Linked DNA regions of Drosophila melanogaster. The protein of the gene in region 1 purifies or fractionates together with the protein of each later gene. This does not show direct contact. Each region holds a gene or a part of one and is shown on either strand. Other genes may lie near its edges.

What was found. The genes of interacting proteins can lie anywhere in the genome.
Region 2: the proteins of Cul3 (region 1) and Roc1b purify together in Drosophila melanogaster (affinity purification with western blotting; 4 studies listed by BioGRID, with this or other methods). This does not show direct contact.
Region 3: the proteins of Cul3 (region 1) and kel purify together in Drosophila melanogaster (affinity purification with western blotting; 3 studies listed by BioGRID). This does not show direct contact.

Annotation. Positions count from the first base shown.
Region 1 is NT_033779.5:15,264,350-15,273,774, forward strand, and holds Cul3 (cullin 3), read right to left. Parts: upstream 5,976-9,425; 5' UTR 5,568-5,975; coding exon 5,025-5,567; intron 4,856-5,024; coding exon 4,472-4,855; intron 4,409-4,471; coding exon 3,647-4,408; intron 3,585-3,646; coding exon 3,414-3,584; intron 3,352-3,413; coding exon 3,181-3,351; intron 3,119-3,180; coding exon 3,004-3,118; intron 2,939-3,003; coding exon 2,796-2,938; intron 2,671-2,795; coding exon 2,447-2,670; intron 2,386-2,446; coding exon 2,247-2,385; intron 2,178-2,246; coding exon 2,025-2,177; 3' UTR 1,680-2,024; downstream 1-1,679.
Region 2 is NT_037436.4:356,430-360,547, forward strand, and holds Roc1b (regulator of cullins 1b), read left to right. Parts: upstream 1-1,551; 5' UTR 1,552-1,601; coding exon 1,602-1,970; 3' UTR 1,971-2,057; downstream 2,058-4,118. Other genes in the region: CG1231 (uncharacterized protein), read left to right, coding at 1-1,030; Cdc5 (cell division cycle 5), read right to left, coding at 2,068-2,756, 2,816-4,118. UniProt on the Drosophila melanogaster protein: Component of the SCF (SKP1-CUL1-F-box protein) E3 ubiquitin ligase complex, which mediates the ubiquitination and subsequent proteasomal degradation of target proteins.
Region 3 is NT_033779.5:18,133,523-18,140,052, reverse strand, and holds the start of kel (kelch), read left to right. Parts: upstream 1-1,969; 5' UTR 1,970-2,121; coding exon 2,122-2,576; intron 2,577-4,077; coding exon 4,078-4,479; intron 4,480-5,226; coding exon 5,227-6,439; coding exon of another isoform or gene 6,440-6,465; intron 6,466-6,527; coding exon of another isoform or gene 6,528-6,530. Other genes in the region: Socs36E (suppressor of cytokine signaling at 36E), read left to right, coding at 1-208. UniProt on the Drosophila melanogaster protein: Component of ring canals that regulates the flow of cytoplasm between cells. May be involved in the regulation of cytoplasm flow from nurse cells to the oocyte during oogenesis. Binds actin.

The DNA.
Region 1 (9,425 bases):
AAGTACAAAAATCACAACAAAAAACACTTGTAAAGTTGTAAGCTTATTAAAAACAACACAAAAATGGGCGGAAAAAAAAATAAAAAATAGAGAAAATATATCTGATTCGAACCTTGGCGGCGACGTCAAGAGCAGCTCAGCGCGCTGCGTTCATATCTTTTGTTTGCAGTCTTCTGACGTAGCAATGTAGTTTTGTTTATTTATATTTTTCTTGTTTTTGAGCTACACACACGCGTATTAAGTATACGGTTTCAGCATGTTGTTGTTTTTATTTCTTGCCACGATCCAAATACCGCGCGTTTCGTCTGCGCTCCGTTCGCGATCGCCAACGAAACCGAACTGAGCGCTCCGCTCCACACACTCGCTCCCCACCACCACCGGCCAAGAGCGGCTCTCTAGAGAGTTGAAAAACTCGACGGACTCTCAGCGCTTATCAGTGCGTCGGGGAATCGAATTGGATCGCTGCGTGTGTTTACCCAAGAACTTAGCATTCTGAATTTCTGGCCGGGCTCACGATATACATATGTATGTATGTATCTTACACAATATGCGAAAGTCATCGCTGTTTGCCCAAGTTGCGGTTTCGGGGTTCTGCCAATTTCGTATAATTGTTAACTCATCCGGTGTATATTTGCCCATGGATAAGTTTGTTTGGTCGCATTGATAACTCCGATATGGTCGTTCAACGCGGTTACACAATAGCTGGAAAAAAGCTGCAAAAACCATGAATTTTAAAGATTAAGAACTAAAAAATTTCGAATGATTCAGAGAATGATTATGCCAATCCTTAAGTCTTATTGCCCATCCCAAATTTTACACGATTAGCACAATATGTTGGGCACCAATTGAAAACAGTAGATTTTTTGCAGATTTAAATTGTTACCAAGTTCGTTTTATTGTACAGGCGAATAAAAGCATTTCATTGAAAATATTTTAAAATCCTTTTAAAAGATAGACAACAACTGTGTTAACGCTCATTATACGTTTTATTTATATCGATTTCTCTTTTATGTAAGAACAAAATTTATTTACAGTGTTTAGATCGCGTTTGCTTGCTTCCGTTTTCGTGCTTTCGGTTCGGCGTTAAATTGTTTTTCAAAATCAATTCTATGTGTGTCCTACTTAACTCAAATCCATTACAGAAGTGTTGCCTACATATGCCTGGAATCGATTCCCACATATCAACTAATAGATAAAACAACTTTTTCGTACAGATTATCATAATCACTTCACGTTGCTTTGGGCGTACACAAAAAATGAAGATAGAGGAATATGAATAGTCATTGCAATCCTTACGTTCTGTTCACACGCATCTCAAAACGTGGGATGAATGTTTTTATTTGGATTGAAACAGACGACGTATAAATGTACATCAAACGCTCTCTAAAATTCATAATTCATTTATAAATTTATTACTTTAGCTATATTTATAGTTATTAATATTTTCTTGCTTATATTTCTGTTGTTGCTTCTTTACCTTTTTACTCAGCTGCTTACAATTAGGGGCTGCATTATGCATTATTTCTCTTATCTTGCTTTGCGTACGATTCTTGTGGGTGGATGTGGTGTGTGTGGTTGTGGCTCTGAATGGGGTGGTGGTGGAGCAGGTGTGTATGTGGTTGTTTGGGCTTACTGCTATACACTTGTTATGCGCAAAGAAATGACCATAAACAGTAATTAGAGAATATCAAGAAATATATTAGAGGGATAATAATTATGGTGGTGCCTTATCCAATAGCATTTTTAACTGTTGAATTTTGAATGTCAGGCTTACAAAATGGGTTGCGAAACGAAATTTTACGATTCGGGGCGCACTAATTGATATATTTATGTATTCGGGTTATTGGCTGGCGGTCATCTATAATCGTGGTCAGTATCCGCCATATCAATGCCGCTCGTATGCTCAGGCCATTCCGTCCGAGCTGCAGATTGTGTTTTTCAGTTAGTGTGCAAGCCCTGGCGATTTGAAGATGAGTGTGTTCCGGATCCTGCTTAAGACGCTCCTGCTACTTTTTGTGGGCCGCTTAGGCCAAGTAGTTGTACACTTTGCGATCTTCCGGCGATCGTTGCAGATACTCGCGCTCGATTAGGCCCTCAATGCGCTTTTTGATAAACACGGGCGAGGGCAAGAAACGCGACTTTAGCTGCGACGTCACATCTGATACTAGCAAGTTGTGCTAAGAAAATAAAAACAGGAATCATGGTTAAATCACAATCCAACCAGATAGCAAACGTATAATACTTACAGCCAGACGCTTGCGGGCCTTCATTATGCGCACAATAGCCGCTTCGATCTCGTGCTTACGATCCTCGTCGACCTTTCCGCGCGTTTCCTTACGCTCTGGCTCTGATTCTCCCTTGGCGGCTACCGTTTGTATCTTCACCCTAAAATAGTTTCGATATTATTACCAGGCGCCGTTCTTTCGCACTGAAAGTAATATCTAACCTGTGGAACTTGGAGTTGAAGGCGTCGTTTACGTAAAACTCATCCGTGGGCTCAATGTCCTTAGTTTTCGTTTTAGAATTGCGTACTAACAAACGCTGAGCGGGTTTGCCCATGGACAACGATTGTAGTGCTCGGACGAGCTCCCGTTCCGGTATATCGGTCTCCTGGTGTATGTCATCGTAGGTGAGCACGTCGCGGTTATTAAACAGCAGTAGCACACACATCTAATTTTGGATTATGAAATACATGTTAAATGTTTAGTTAAATATTTTTTTCAGATCAATGAAATAAAGCTGCTTCTGCTAAATAAAATTCGGAGGTGTACGAACTAAAAGATATTTTAGCTTACCTGGTACGTGGACACTTGCAATATGTGCTTGCGTGTGGTGGTGGGCACCCCACAGCCGCTTGAACTGGAGCTGGGTGCATCTTTATCCTTTTCACTTTCAACTGCCTTGCGGCCATAAAACACAGCGTTGATATAGGCGGTTCCTATTCGAAGGGGAAGGCATAAATACAGTAGTTGCTTAAAAAAGAAGATCATTTAAGTAGCTAACCCATTTGTGGCTGTAACGTCAATTGACGTCCTGAGTGCTTATTTAGATAGAAGTTCTTGAAAATGTCAAAGGCTTCACGCGGAGCGGCGGGTATATTGCAGTTCGGAGTTGCTGTCTGTTACGGAAATTGAAGATAAGTTAACCTATTCACATAATTATGGAACAATTTAAGCTTACCTGTGTGGGCCAAAAACCAGTGGTTAGTATGCGTACCGTTAGCTCCACACCGCCAAGGGATAAATTGTTATTATTTACAAAGTTCTTAAACTCATCCATGATCGTATTGGAGACTGACATATCTTTAAACATGCCCTCTAGCTTCGAGGTGAATTGACAGCCGCATTCAGTCTGCAATAATAGAGATTAAAGCGATAAATAATTATGCTAAGATACCAAGTAACTTGACCTACCTTTAGTTTTGATATCATATTCTTCTCGAAATCATCAGAGACTGATTTGTTCAGCAGCAATCTCTTGGCTAAATGCGTCTTGTAATAGCGCTCAAAGACATCTTTCTCCAATAGGAAACGGAAGAGAACCATTGTCTTATCCAAGATGGACTCAATTTCCTGTTCGCTCATCTGTGGAAAAGTAATACACATTATTAATACATTTCAGAAAGCATATTGTAAATTCAACTCACTCCCTTGCCACCCTTTTTCAGTTTGTCATCGATGAATAGCGATAGATACTCCGGGGATTTGTTATTTAGGTTCAAGAAATGTTCAAAATCGGATGAGATGACGTTTTTGAATATGCGATCGTTGGCGAACGAGTGCACCAGAAACTGGTCGAAGCGGTCCTTGAGATCCAGCAAGTTCTGCACGAATGTTATGGGATTCGTGTTGCCGTTTTCTTCTTCCTTAACCAGCATGCGTCCTTGCTCTCGCAGATATGCCGACATTGTGTCCGCTATCACCTTGAGACCCTCCTCCTTCAGGCGCGAGAAAAGCTTATATGTGCAGGCCAGATCCTCGGTCTTTGAGTTCTTGATCATGTACACCACGCCCGAGTTCTCCATTTCAACAATGGGTCGCATGTGCTTTTTGATCAGCTCTTCTTCGACCACGCGCACAATGCGGGGCTCCGTATCCTTATCGAGATACAGCGCTGCCCGGGAAGATTCCTCCGTGATGCGCGCTTCCACTTTCTTGATGTAAACGCCAGCGTTGTTCTCGGCAAGAAAGTTCTGCGACTCGAATTTGTAAAACGCCGCCGATTGCGCAAGGAAGGGCTTTTCAAAGTCCTCTTCGTAGACAGTGCGCGAGTTAATCCCCAGGGTGATCAGCATACTGCAAGCATTCTTGATAGCCAGATGGTTAATGGCTTCGCCATGACGTTCCTCCATCACCATGCCCAGCAACTTCTCTCGCAGGGCCTTTTGAATCTCAGAATAGCGAACCACCTGGTAATGGAAAAAGCGATAAATATATTTCCAACGGAATAAATGCAATAAAGATATTCCTACCTGATCCCTGAACAAAATTAATCCCAAATTGTACACATTGTCTACCTCGCGCTGCTGCACATAAACTCTATCCATGTACATGAGTATGTCGCGGATCATCACCATAGATGTCTGGTGGTCTGTCCAGGCCTGGTTTAACTTGGGTAGGAAATTGCTGTGCAGAGCCTCCAGCACATCCGCCCGCACCTTGTGCTCCAGGTGTTCTGAGACGACCTCCCTCAGACCGTAATACAGTCTATTGCCGTGCTTATGCAGCACCATGTTGTACGCATTCCGGTAGAGTTGTTCAAACGATAGTCCGGAGTTGTTCTTTTTCTGTATCTCCTGGATAGCATTCTTTAAGCTGGCCCAAATGGTCTCCACGTACTTCTCGTCCATGGAGGCCTGGAAGAGAAATATAAGATTATTAATTTGGATAGTCAAGAACTTATTTCTCAGGGATTAAAACTTATAAATGCATAAGAGTGTAAGAGGGATATTAAGACTTTCGCTTGTTAGTAAGTTAACTAAAAGTTGAAATCCCTGTTTGGTTTTTATCAGATGGTAGGCTAACATTGAATGCCCTTCGCTTGTACTCCGGTAGCCAGAGTGGGTACTTCCGTGCTATTTCCTTAAAGCGTTTTTCTGTACTTTCTGCGCTCGCTGAAGCTGAGGTTGATGGCCCAGAGGTGGTTGCACTAGTTTCAGTTTTAACGACAGCTGGAGCAGCAGGAGCTGGAACTGGCATGGAAAGTGGCGTCGGCGTGAGCGGGTGGTTAGTATTAATTCTGTTATCAGCCCGAACTCTGCCACCGCTGGCGGCAAGGTGATAACTCCGCCGCGAGGCAGAAGCTAATCCCTGAGCGGACAATCGATTTTGGGACTGCTGGTGTTGCTGCATTGAGGAGGCGTTGGGCACATTGATGTTCATGCTTCGCGCCTGCTGTCCAAGAACGTTTTGCCTTGCAATCCGGCAAGGCACGGCAGAGTCCACATTACCGACAGTTGCGCCATTGAAGTTGTTGGAGCCGGCCACCATGCGATTGTGGTAGCGGCCGTTGGCGTTGAGGTTGTTCAGTGGCTCCGGCTGCTGTTGGCGGGGATCGCGGCCTTGCATGAGATTGCTACGCTGGTCCAGCTCACACGTCCTGTCCCGGTAGTGGCTCCTCTCTTCCTCGCTGAGTGCCAGAGAGCGAGGGGCTGGATAATAGCCCGCTGCTGAAGCCGGTGCCTGGCGAGACCGACTTTGGTTTAACGACTTAATGATGATAGCTTCAATGTCACATCCGCCGCGCGGTTCTGCTACACCTGGTCCGCTGCTCCTCCTCCTCCTCTGTGCTCCGTACTCCGGCCAGAGTTCTACTCGCGATTCGGGTCTCGCCCTTCACCCTGCTCTCCACATACAGGTGTTCACAGTCTTTTTGTGTGTGTTGTTGGTCAACAATAATTTCTCGAAAACTACGATTGAATTCGTTGTAACTTAAAAACTAAAATGTGTGTTGAAAATTCCCCTGGCCCCGGTTGGTGTTTTGATGTTTTTATTTGTTTTTGATTTTTGGTGTTTGCTTTTCATGTCGCCTGACATTTTGTGGGGAGAAATGTTTGGTGTCGCCTAACCGGTGAATTTGCTAATTGTTTTATAAAAATTATCTAACTCTTAATACCCGCAAATGGCATTATCTTATCGAAACATTTTGCAAGTTCATGATGCGATCGACAGATTTTTCGCTGCAACTCTCATCTCAACTGCAAAGCGAGTAAGGGGCTTTTCAAATGAGTATATCTCGTTTTTTAAATTCGTTTGCAAATTGCACTCAACCTTTTCAAACGCTTAATCTTAAAAATTTGAAGATCATTGTTTTTTGAACCAAAGAAATGGCATAATCTGGGATTATACAACTTGCTGTGGACAGCAAGCTCTTTCTTCATAGTGATTTCTTGGATTTGAGCTTAAAATGAAAATGTTTTTACAGTTTGTGGTTTAAACTTGTATTAGTTCCGGGTTGTCAGATAATAGATAATCTCATATTAGTTCGCTCTTAGCAATATTACACGATTAAGAGTGTGTATCGTGGTTTTAACGATGCTCCAATGTGGGTTCTTACCGGAAAGGCCCGAATGCGCATTTTGCCCTCCTTCTTGGGAGGATTTCCCCGCAGATTCATGCTTTGCAAGCGTCGGCACTGCTCCTCCACTTTATTGGCGGTTCGGACTCCGGAGCAGGGAGCTGCAAGAAGAGCAGGTGCTTCTCCGACTTTTCCGATGACGGAACCTGCTTTCCTCGGCGGCAATCAATGGTTAACACAACAAGAACACAGTTAACCTGGGTTATCCTTGGTTTATCCTGAAAGATAAGGAGAGGTGAATGGATTAGTTCTATCACAGATCTCCCAGCATGTTTACGCTACAATCCGCGTAGGGTGGTGCCGAGATGAGCATTCTGGTTTCGTATATTTGTGCAAACATTCCACGCAAATGTTAGGGTGTCAAGCGCGATGTACACAAGCAGACGTGTGTACGTACATATGTATATATATGCCCGTGTGTGTATGTCTATTTGGGGAAGCGGCTGGTTTTATTCGCGAATAGTTTGCAATTGCGGATATGTCCCGGGATACCAATCCGCCGTACTGCGTCGTCACTTCCTTTGTCGCCGCCTATATCGCAGATATCGGATATATGTGCATGTACATTGATTCGCTGGCCCATCCGATCTCTCCGCGTAAAAGAAACGGTGAAAAAAACTCACACGGCGACAATATAATTGTTATGTACATATACGTGCAATTAATACAAGAACCGTTGTTTTCGCACGCACTTCCAACCGATGATCGATAAATATACGTCCCAGGGAAGTGCATTCAATTGCTAGACGTTATCGAGCCAATGCTTCTATTTTCACTTTGTTGCTTTCTTTATTTTCTTAACGATTCTTCTATTTCACTTTGTCATGGAAAAGACGGGTTACATATGTGTGTGCGTGTGGGTGCCTGCCCGTCTCACGGTCTACGCTTGTGTGCGTATGTTTTTGTACCTGGCCTTTTGAAACGGCTTTCCACGTCGCTTTCGCACAATTTTTACTATTTCAAAATGTATTTTACCGGTGCGAATGCATTAGTAAAGTCACTACTATTATTTAGCTTGATTTGTTGCTGTTTTCAACGTTTACTTGCATTTCATATTGATTGTAGGTTTTAATAGCGATGGGCGACAAAAGTAGCATTGTTGTTGTTTTTCGAGGCGAATGGTGATAGCTATCGATAGTACTTTTCCATCGATAGTGTCAAAACCAGTTGCTCTCAACTTTATGATAAATAAAACCAGTAAAGTTAACAGGAAAGGAACTGACTTTGCATCGCACGCAACTTAAGAAAATATGTAGTTACTTTTTATTTTATTTGTTAAAGGAATATAAATATTAAATATAAAAATTAAAAGGAAAGTAACTGACTTCTTAGTACGCTTGCATCACAAGCAGAACCAGAAGAATTATTGTCACTAATTATTGATTTCTTTATTTATATAAATTAATTTTTATTTGGTAAAGATTTTATGTTCATAAATTTTGAATTTTTAAAGTACATAACATTTCCAAATATATATTTAAATTGTCTTATGTATATAATATTTTATCATAATTTATATAACATTTTTTTCCCATGTCTAGCTAACAGTGTTGCAAAATTCGTGTTGCTCTCTGTGAATGGTAGTATTTCAAAACGAAAGCCCTAAAAGTATGCTATATTTTTAAGTACGCACTGGACTTCAAATTTCAGTTAGTCCATTTCAAAAGTTTGTAATACAGATAAAAATAGTTAACTATAACTATGTAGGTGACAAAAACACAAATGATTTTGAAATAGTAGTGCTTTTTGAGATTTCAGAATAATTCTTGGAATATGAACGCACAATTTTATCGATAAACGCATGTTAAAAAGTTTAGGAGTTTTATAAAATAAGCCGTTTAATATCTACCTTACATCGTATCTGGGAAATTCCCGCTCTGACTGCGAGAGTGAAAGCTTTGCTGAAGAACTAATTACCCTGCGACAAGGTCTCGGCATTCGGTTAATAATTTAATTATGACAACTTGCAACAGGCGAAAAACAGATGTAAACGGATATCCAGCGATGGCTACCGCATGTGGCTTTCTTAATTGCCCATCGATGCCCACTGCCTTTAGTACTCCCTTGGTTGATAAGCAAAATGGCAAAAATGTGCCACAGAATTGCGAGTTTAATTTGGGCATAAACCTTTGAGCCGTGCGTGTAAATTATGCGCACTTTCACCGATCGGAGGAGCCCTTTGCGGCTTCATTTGTCGTGCGTCGAAATTAATTAGCCGCAGTTCAAGTTCCCTTCTGCGTAGGTGTTCCTCCGATGTCGTCAGCTCAGCCGTATTTATTACCATTTATGCACGACTGTCTGTTTGGCTGATGCGCCGCGAATTAATTACACTATGGGGCACAGTCAAATCAACATGAATGTTGCACGCTGCGGGTGCGGGTGCATCTGCGAATACAGCAGTATCACAATGTTGCTGAAAAATGAATGGTTACCTGGGCTGGTGTAGTTGGGGCAATAGTCGCGGCCATATAACCACATAAGCACCGCATAATCGTGCCTCATCGCAACCACTCATATTCACACCAGGCACTCGCTGCAACAAGGACAATAAATCATCGAAAGGCAGCCGTGTGCAGACAAATTCACTGAAATTTAAATAAAAATCAAAACAAATGCTAGACAAAACACGAGTCCGGGAGTCGGAGTCCGTAAAAGGCGAAAAGAGCCTGAAAGGCAGCCGCATCAATATGGAGCATACACTGTAAACAATTAGGGGTGGCAACAGAAGTGGTAGATACACGTTTAACTGCATTGCAAATCAAAACTTTATTTGATGGCCAATACTTACGCTGCTTATTTATGCTGGTTTTCTAATCAATTTAAGGTAAGCACTAATATATTTCTGCAGT
Region 2 (4,118 bases), on another chromosome or scaffold:
CCCCGGATCCCTTAGAGGTTTCCACATTCCGCACCTTGCACCGGGAGAGACCCCCAAAATTCGTGTGGATAGTGCCTGTATCGAATCTCATCCAGACGCAGAAATTTCGACCAGTAACAGGTTGGTGGCACCTGGTAAGCGAACGGACAAGAAAGATAATGGGTCAATCAGGACGAACATGAAACGGAAGGCTAAGTGCATGGAGGAGGATTCGTTGAAGGCTAACGGCGATTTGGCCTTGTTTCCCGGACGCGACGAGAGCTATCCGGAGGAGTTGAACAGGCTTATTGGACCACTGAACTGTCAGCTGTGTAAGGTGCAGATGACCTCGAGGAAGCGCGCCCGGGATCACTACGAATCGAAGGCCCACGACCGACACATCAGCGCCTGGCTGGCCAAGAACTACACGGAGGTGGGTCTGGAGGCGCCTCCAGTGAAGCGGCTGGCCAAGCAAGGACCAACCGGCCCAAACGCCTTTCACTGCGAGCTGTGCAATCTGGACCTTACCTCCTCTATGCACGCCCGCCAGCACTATTTAGGTCGGAAGCACAAGCGTGTGGAGCAGGGCGTCGCGAAGCCCTCCGGAGCCAGGCACTGTGATACATCTGTTGGTCGTTACGGCATAGGGAGTCTGTTCCGCAAGCCGGAAAGTTTAACCAAAGATTCCCCTACGGACGTATTAATATCAGAGAACAGCGTGATCAAGTCTGACGATAATGAGCGCACCTGCCACCTGTGTAAAATAGTGGTCACCTCTGCTGCACAAATGCAGGCCCACTTGGCTGGAGCCAGGCACCAAAAGAACTGGAGGACCTCCCGGCAGGATCAGAATCATTCGGAGGCGCCGATCCCTGAAACGGAGAAATTAGATGCCGCGGAACTGGCCTTGTATCGCACTCCAATGGGTCAGTACTACTGCCAGCCCTGCAACATGATGATGAACCATGAGAGCACCTTGCAACAGCACTTTATTGGCAAGAAGCACCTGAAGAGGGTAAAAAACCTTTCCCAAACTGAGAAGAACGTGTAAAGAATTTATTTGATATACCCTAAGCCTAAGCCATGACTTCCCGTTAGCAGTAAAGCTTCCTTAATAATAATGACATTCGAGTTTGGGAAACAGCTATTTTGTTTAAGAAAGGCATTATAAAAACCGTAATTTGTTATCATACCCATTACTCATAGAGGGGTATATTAAACTCGTTAAAAGGAATACAAATTTCTATCGATATGCCAAGATAATTTTGAAATTTCTCTCTCAAACTCACTCCCACTATCTGGTATCTGATAGTCGAGAAATTCGACTATAACATTCTTTCTTGTTTAAAAAAATTGTCTAAATTTAGGGATTCAAAAGTGGTTTACCGATGATAAGCTTTCTTGAGCCCCACTTAATATGATCACAAGGTTTAATTTCTTTTCTGCATTTATTTTTAAAATTATTCGCCGTTGTTATTTCGTAGATAAATCGGTAGTGGTCAACTTTTTTTTATTAACTGTCAGGCCAAAAACAAATGGAATTTAAAATAGTTCAAATCAAATTCGAATACGAAAATAAGTGTTGTATTTTGAAAAAGAAAAAAAATTCGTAATTTCACACCATGGCCGAGGAGATAGAGGTTGAGGAGACGGAGGACTTCCACGACATGGACTTCAATGACGAAGAGCCATCCTGTAGTGGAGGAGCTGTCCAGGCCAGGACGGAGCGCTTTGTGGTGAAGAAATGGGTTGCGCACGCCATGTGGGGATGGGACGTAGCAGTGGACAACTGTGCCATCTGCCGTAACCACATCATGAACCTGTGCATCGAGTGCCAGGCGGACCCGAATGCAAACCAAGACGAGTGCACTGTGGCTTGGGGCGAGTGCAACCACGCATTCCATTACCACTGCATCGCGCGCTGGTTGAAAACGCGCCTGGTCTGTCCGCTGGACAACAAGGAGTGGGTCTACCAGAAGTACGGCCGCTAGCGAGGAATATGGATCGGGATATTAGGTGGTGATAGCTGTTTGCTGGCATGTAATTACTGTAATTAAATAAGAACGGACTTGGGTTCCAAAAGAAGGTTTACGCTTCCTGGTCGGGCAGGAGTTGCTGGGCCGTGGGCCTGACGCCAGTTATATGTTCGATTTGAGAGTAAAGCGAATCGCGCTCCTCCACTAAGCTAGCGTACTTTTGCTGCAGCTCCTTCTCGCGGTCCATCTGGCGACGCACGTCCTCTTGCAGCGATTCCAGGCGTCGCGGCACAGCGATGGCCTCCTGTTCGCCCAAAAAGCGGAATGTCGAGAGTGAGACAGAGTTCTGCTCAATCTGGCCGTACGTGTCCTGAAGCTGCTTAATCAGCACCTGGGCGCGCGCCTGGTAGCCGCCGGTGAGAATCTTCAGCTTCTTCTCGATCTTGCCGCAGCGCTTGGCTTCCTTGGCCATGTGGCGGCGATTTGTCTCCAGCCGTTTCTCGGCAGACTCTAATCGATCCTTCTTGCTGGCCAAATTGGCGCGTGTGTAGCGATGTTGGGAGGGTAGGTAAAGAACCTGGCCGAGGCACTCCTGCCACACCTGGGCATAAACGTCTAGGGGCAGTTCGCCATGCGCCATGCGCTCCTTCACCACCTCCATTTCCTCGGTGAGCATTTGCTTGGCCTTCGCCAACTCTTGCTGCGAGATGTCCTCGTAGGGATTGGCCTTAAAGTAGCTTTGTAGCTGTTCCAACTTGTGCTGCGATTGACCAGGCACGGGATCCTTGACCGAGTCGTACACTGCCAAGAAAAAGGACGTTAGTTACTTGGGTTAAAATGGAAACGTTGGGTTTACTCACGCTGCATGGTGATCATTTCGTGTTTAATCAGCTCTTCGGCCTGCTGCTGTTCCGTAAGGTTCTGTTTCTCGGACTGCGGTCGCAGAATCTTGGTGTTCACTTCAGTTGGTCGCGGGAGACTACGCTGAATAACCTGGGAGCGCTTCTCTAGCTCTCGCTTTCGGCGCGCCTCTTGTTCAGCCAATAACCTGGCGTCGACATCCGCCTGATCCTCGACGGCGGGTTCTGAGTTGGTCTCAATGCGTTCGCTTTCCTCCTGCTCAGGCACCACGATCTCATAGTCATTCCGTGGAGCGGGCAGCGTGGAGAGACCGTCACGCAGTGTAGACTTTAGTTGCTTTTGGTAGTTTTTGTAATGTGCTGGGGTCTCGGTGACGCCCATACTCTCCTCAGGATTGATGCTTAGCTTGTCCCTCACGTAGGCAGGTGTATTGACGACACCCGTAGCCCCTCCTGCCCCCTTTACGGGAACTAGGGCTCCGGAGGAGGGCGTTTGGAATCCGCCGGGAGTGGCTGCTCCGCCCTCGCGTTGGGTTCTAAACGGCGTGGCAATCACTGTGTTAGGCGTGGCGATGGAGGCCGCCTTGGGCAGCACGCCGGAGAAGTCTGACTCGTGCAGCGGTGTGTTCAGGCCACCTTTGAGTGGCGTCTCTGTGTGGGTGAGGGCCATCATGTTTTGGGCCTCCTGCATGATGCGATCGGTGTACGGAGCCGGAGTACGTGGAGTGGCTGCTACCTGGGGTGTAATGGAGTAGTCGGCTAGCAAAGCATCCGTCGTCTCTATGCCGCTCTCACCGGCAATTTCCTTTGCCATCTCACTGGCGCGTCCCAGCTTGACTACCTGCTGTAGTTCCATGTCGGAAATCTGCGGCGTAGGCAGGACTAGTTTGGAGCGCTTCCGCTCGGGCTCCATGTTTTGCAGCATTGCGGTGGGCACTTCATTCTCTTTGCGCTGCTTCAGCTTCTGCTTGTCCCGCTTGCGTTCGCGTTCCTCCTTCTCTGAGCGGAGTTCTCCATCTAGGTCCTGCTGCCGCATCTTGTTGAAGTCGGGTTCATTTTTCTGCAAGTGTTCCTCGGAAGTGTCGTAGAATCCGTGGGCAGGTCGCTTTTCGAAGGGAATCTCGGCGTTGTAGTCTATTCCCTTGATCCGCTTGCGATTTCCGCTGCCAATTCCGGCGGCACGAAGTTCGCGCCGCTTTTGGAGAGTGGCCAGGCGGCGGGCTTCCTCCAGTTGCTTTTCGCGAGCCTTGCGCTTGGCTTTCTTGCCTTGCGTGTTGGCCAAGCGGGCGCGTGCCTCGGACAG
Region 3 (6,530 bases), 2.9 Mb from region 1:
GACGATACCCCTGCACAGAAGGCAGACCTTCTCCCTGCAGCAGCTCTCCCGGGCGACCATTGTGTCCAACACCAGCTACGACGGGATCAACCAGATGGAGCTGCCCGGTCGGCTGAAGAGCTACCTTAAGGAGTATCACTACAAGCAGAAGCTGCGCGTCAAGCCCATCGACCAGAACACCCCGATGCCGTACTACGGCAATGTATAGCGGGAGGAGCAGCAGGTGGGCTTCACCTACTACGAGGACGTGGAGAGCGGCAGCGAGGTGGACGAGGACGACGACGAGGGGGTCAACATACGGGTCTCCTACGTTCAGCACGCCGAGGTGGTGGCCCAGCTGCAGCAGGTCACCACGGCGTCGGGCCCATCGGCTCCGTCCTCATCCAGATCGTCCAATCTTCAGGAGCACCTCAGCAGGCTGCCCAACCGCATGGCAGCCGCCTTTGGTCGGATGTCGGCCAATCTGAATTGCTACCAGAAGACTGTCGCCACGCCGGAGCGTCACTCCAACTCCTCCTGAGGATCAGGACGTGGACGGAGGGGCAAACAGAACCCAGAAACCAAAACTCAAACTGAGACAATCCCAGTGCAGCGTGTGCCGCCACCATAAGTTAAAAGATCAAACGCGAAGCCACATAACAAAATCGCTAGCTCGCTACTACAAGACTGTCATGGATCAAAAACCAAATGTTCACCATATATATCTCACCTATTGGAATGCAGCTCGGACGGATTTTTGAGTTGTGGCACTCTTGAAAGCGAGCTGGTAGAATGTAGAATCGAAATCGCAGTTAGCTAATTGTACTATAAACTAAGTATTATTATCTAAAGCAACCCTCTCTCCTACACACATAAGTATTGCAAAAAGAAGGGCCAATCGAGCTTTTCGTAATCGCTGGTATTCTTGTAATATTTCATTGTATTTATTTGAAGTATGGAATCTAAATGATGTGTTACTGTTACGTGTAAATACGAGATACGAATGCAGCTTAGTTAGTGTAAAACTCTCTCATTAGCCAAATTTCCAAATGTAATTTTCGCCTATTTATGAATATACTTTATTTATTTATTCGAAGTGATTTCGTTCGCAAGCGAGTGCTTTGTTTAAAAAGAAAAAACCCGTCAGTTGTACACGTGTAGAGCATTTGTAAATACTACCGATTTTCGCATTAAGCTGTAGCTATATTAATATAATGAATTATAAATCATGTATTCCTACCTAGGTGGTTGCTGTTATTCGTAAACATTCAATAAGCAGTTGTTTCCAATACCTATTTAATGTATTTTACATATCTCACATGTTGATGAGCATGCGTATCAATATTCAAAAACAAAATCGAAAAAAGAGTCAAACAAATAAAGTTGATCAAGATATTAGAAAAAATCTCAAAGTGTGTTTTGAATCAGAAGTGTGGAATCATAATCAACCCAAATGATTGATGTATTTTAATATCTTTAACAAATGAATGTTTAACTCATTCGTTATTTTCATTATAAAGTCGTGAATTCTTTATAAAATGAGAGTAATCAACTAAAATCTATAGATTTCTATTTATTTTATTTTATATCTATAAAATATCTATAGATATTCTATCAAGATTATGCTGAACTAAACCTTTTTTACTTTCTTTTATGGAATTCGAATATGCAATCTTAATGAATTCTGTGTCGCATATTTGTAATCTTTTTGCAATTTTATTTATATATTTTTATAAGATGAATTAGGTATGCTTTTTTTAAGTTTAGGTAAATGTGGAATATTAGTTTGTATATCAATTTAAAAATCACACTTTTTGAAACGTACGTATAAATAAAAATTAAAGGGGAGAGGTCATATTTAAGATGTAATTCAAGTGAATTACAAAAATTCAAAAATTAAATGACTTTATCATTAATTTTATAGTTGGAAACAAAGCCAGCTCAGTGAGAACTGGTTGAAAATGCCTATCGGACTATCGATGAGTATTCATCGCTAGTGGTAACTTGCGACCAACCCGAGGCTGGTCACACTGCTCTGGTCGCGTCCAAAAAGTGTACAATTTTTCACCACCTCGGTTTGTTTTTTCGGACCAGGCGAGGCACCTTCGATTCGCTGCGACTTCCGTTTCCGATCCGTTTCGGATGATAGCTCTGAGTGCGCTGCTAACCAAATATACGATCGGTATTATGAGCAACCTAAGCAATGGCAACAGCAACAACAACAACCAGCAGCAGCAGCAACAACAACAGGGTCAGAACCCACAACAACCAGCACAGAATGAAGGCGGAGCGGGAGCGGAGTTCGTGGCGCCACCGCCCGGACTAGGTGCCGCAGTGGGCGTGGCAGCCATGCAGCAGCGCAACCGCCTGCTGCAGCAGCAACAGCAGCAGCACCACCACCATCAGAATCCCGCCGCCGAGGGAAGTGGCCTGGAGCGGGGCAGCTGCCTTCTGCGCTACGCCAGCCAGAACTCCCTGGACGAGAGCTCCCAGAAGCACGTCCAGCGGCCAAATGGCAAGGAGCGCGGCACTGTGGGGCAGTACAGCAATGAACAGCATACGGCGCGCTCCTTCGACGCCATGAACGAGATGAGAAAGTAAGGATGGCACGAGATCCTGTCGAAGGATCAGTTCGTACGACTATAAAATTTGGTTAAGTCCTTAAGCATCATAAAGAAGTAGCCAGGGTTTCTAAAGACCTTAAGGCAGTATATTTAGATCCACAAATAGTATTATATCCTAATTCCTACCTGTGAGAGGTTTTAAAAACCTTAGGTAGAACATTGGTTATTTTGTACCTGCCCTGGAGAATAGAACACACAGCACCCACATAGGACTTTTAATGATATGCAGAATTAGATCTATGTGATTTTATAGCCTGATTATGTAAATAAGCACACCTACAACGGTTCGAAAAATGTTTCAAATGTCATTTGTTTGCTCAACAGCAAACCAGCTGAACGTTCGTTCAGGTTCTAAAAAGGTGTCAGCTATTTCCCAGTTACTATTTCCTTGACAAAACAAGCTGATCTGAGTTTCTACCACTAAAACTTTCAGTTGTTAAATATGACGACCTACCTCAACTTAATATAAATAGAACTGTGCTAACTACACTCTATTATAAACTCATCTCCTCTGTTCCCGGACAAAGGCGCATGATTCAATCCCTGCGTGTTCGACGGGAACAGGTGGACCGACTGGCTCTCGAGCTTTGAGATTTGGGCCAAGATGCGAAAATAAAATCTCTGAAAATGTCAGATGATCGTCTCTCGCATATTTGCGCAGTTCGCTTTGTTTATCTGGCCGTTGCTAATATTTGTGTTTGCACACTACATATGTATAAACGAATATTTGCCGCCGCTTTTGTCGTGGGGCCATTCGCATTAATTATTGTCTAGTTTTTATTATGATGAGTTGCTTACGCCTTCGGGTTTCGCATTGGGCCACGACCTTGAACTTGGTTGCGGCCAAAAATGATATTCGTTTTCGAATCGCATTTCGATTCCGCTTCCGCGTCTCCGCCTTTGCTTACTTTTTGGAAAACTACTGGGCGTATGGAAAATTTATTGGTAGCTTACATAAAACGAGTTTTTTTTTTCGGACCAATCATATCGTATTCGGCGCGAAAGTGAATGTGGTATAACCCAAAAAGTAAGCCGAGCGTTGTAATGTGGATTGCTTTTTGATTGGGAATTGAATCACACAAATATTTCGTGAGGTGTATATTCTATGAGATTTTTTTTATTGGGTTATAATTATAACACCTTACGATTTTGAAGACAAAAGATCTTAGTCTTTTCGAGTAGTCATCATCATTTAATGGCGCCATAATTTGCACAGTTAATAGCATCCCCGTCTCTTTTTACAAAACAAAATATTTTCCTCTTGAAAAAATTCAAGCACTTTTGTTTACAAACATACATACCAGCCTTGAAGATATTTAGCACGCTTTTAAACTGTTTATTTGGCAATCAAAACGATCTATTGCTAGTGGATTTCAAAGTCTCAATATTGTCGATACATGACGGTTACTAACCAATTTACTGCGTACAAAAAAATGTATCAAATCTGATATATATATATTTTTACCTATAACAGACAAAAACAGCTCTGTGATGTGATATTGGTGGCCGACGATGTGGAGATCCACGCTCACCGCATGGTGCTGGCCTCCTGCAGTCCGTACTTCTATGCGATGTTCACCAGTTTCGAGGAGTCGCGGCAGGCGAGGATCACCCTCCAGAGTGTCGATGCTCGGGCCTTGGAGCTGCTCATCGACTACGTATACACTGCCACGGTGGAGGTAAACGAGGATAACGTGCAAGTCCTCTTGACCGCCGCCAACCTGCTCCAGCTCACGGATGTGCGAGATGCCTGCTGCGACTTCCTGCAAACTCAGTTGGATGCCAGTAATTGCCTCGGCATCCGGGAGTTTGCCGATATTCATGCCTGCGTGGAACTTCTCAATTACGCAGAGACCTACATCGAGCAGCATTTCAAGTAAGTGGCTAGATTGTGATGACGCAGTATGGGCAGACAAATATAAAATTGTTTTGATTTGCCTGTTTACAGATAGGAATCCATTACTGTATCTGTTCAGTGTTCACTTTTAGAGCATGTATATTGGGAAGACTCACTTTAGTTTGTTCTATATCTACGGATAGTAATTCGTATTTAAATTCCAGTGAAGTGACTATTTATTTATTATTTATTGAGGATAGAAAGCTGCCGTACAACAATATCAATTGAATCGATTAATGGGATCAGATATTTTAATAATTATAGTAACATTTAATAACATGTGTCAAGTTAAAGTTCCTTAGACTCAACAAAAAGGATTTTTAATTATATTATAAAAACGATTAAATTCCTAGGTGTGTTTGGAATGTATCAAAATTTAAATAGTTTAACAGTCACGCATTGGTGTCTTCCAGCATCTGTTTGAAGTCGCTAATTTTGGGTTTCCATAAGATCACGAATTTAATCTTATATTAATTATATTTTCGAATTCAACTACTGAATTAGTAATAACCAAAGTATCAGAATTATATAAGTTCTCATTGATTTCATCAGGCAGAAACAAAATTAGTTAATTATTAAGTTTATATAACAGTAAACAGACGCAAAACCGAAAGCAAATGTGCAATATAAACCATTGAACCGGTTGCGATTAATTAAATTTACTTAGCCCACTCCTCTCATTCCTTGCGCCCCATTACTAACTGCTTGTGTTTGGTTTATTTGCAGCGAGGTGATCCAGTTCGATGAGTTTCTGAACCTCTCGCACGAGCAGGTCATCAGCCTGATTGGCAACGACCGGATTTCGGTTCCAAATGAGGAGCGCGTATACGAGTGCGTCATCGCCTGGCTGCGCTACGATGTTCCTATGCGGGAACAGTTCACCTCGTTGCTCATGGAGCATGTGCGTCTGCCGTTCCTGTCCAAGGAGTACATCACACAACGTGTGGACAAGGAGATCCTCCTCGAGGGCAATATCGTGTGCAAGAATCTCATCATTGAGGCATTGACCTATCATCTACTGCCCACTGAGACAAAGTCCGCTAGAACGGTGCCCAGGAAGCCGGTGGGCATGCCCAAGATACTGCTCGTTATTGGAGGACAAGCACCCAAGGCTATACGATCGGTGGAGTGGTATGATCTGCGAGAGGAAAAGTGGTACCAGGCCGCCGAAATGCCCAACCGCAGATGCCGCTCCGGCTTAAGTGTCCTGGGTGACAAAGTCTATGCTGTCGGAGGTTTCAATGGATCACTGCGTGTGCGCACCGTAGATGTCTACGATCCTGCCACGGATCAGTGGGCAAACTGCAGCAACATGGAGGCCAGACGATCTACCCTGGGAGTAGCTGTCCTCAATGGTTGCATATACGCCGTGGGTGGATTCGATGGCACTACGGGTCTGTCGAGTGCCGAGATGTATGATCCCAAGACTGACATCTGGCGGTTTATCGCCTCCATGTCCACGCGTCGCAGTTCTGTGGGCGTAGGCGTCGTCCACGGACTTCTTTATGCCGTGGGCGGTTACGATGGCTTCACTCGTCAGTGCTTATCTTCAGTGGAGCGCTATAATCCGGACACGGACACATGGGTTAATGTGGCGGAAATGAGTTCGCGGAGGAGTGGCGCCGGAGTGGGAGTGCTGAACAATATCCTTTATGCCGTTGGCGGTCACGATGGTCCCATGGTCAGAAGATCTGTTGAAGCCTACGATTGTGAAACGAACTCCTGGCGTTCAGTGGCAGACATGTCATATTGCCGGCGAAATGCGGGAGTGGTGGCTCATGATGGCCTGCTGTATGTGGTCGGTGGCGATGATGGCACCTCAAATCTAGCTTCTGTGGAGGTCTACTGCCCGGACTCGGACAGTTGGAGAATACTGCCTGCTTTGATGACCATCGGACGCAGCTATGCGGGCGTGTGTATGATCGACAAGCCCATGTGAATGGAAGAGCAGGGTGCATTGGCCCGGTAAGTCAATGGAAGCATTGTTACCAAAACAAATTATAATAATCTCTCTTGTTTCTTTTCAGCCA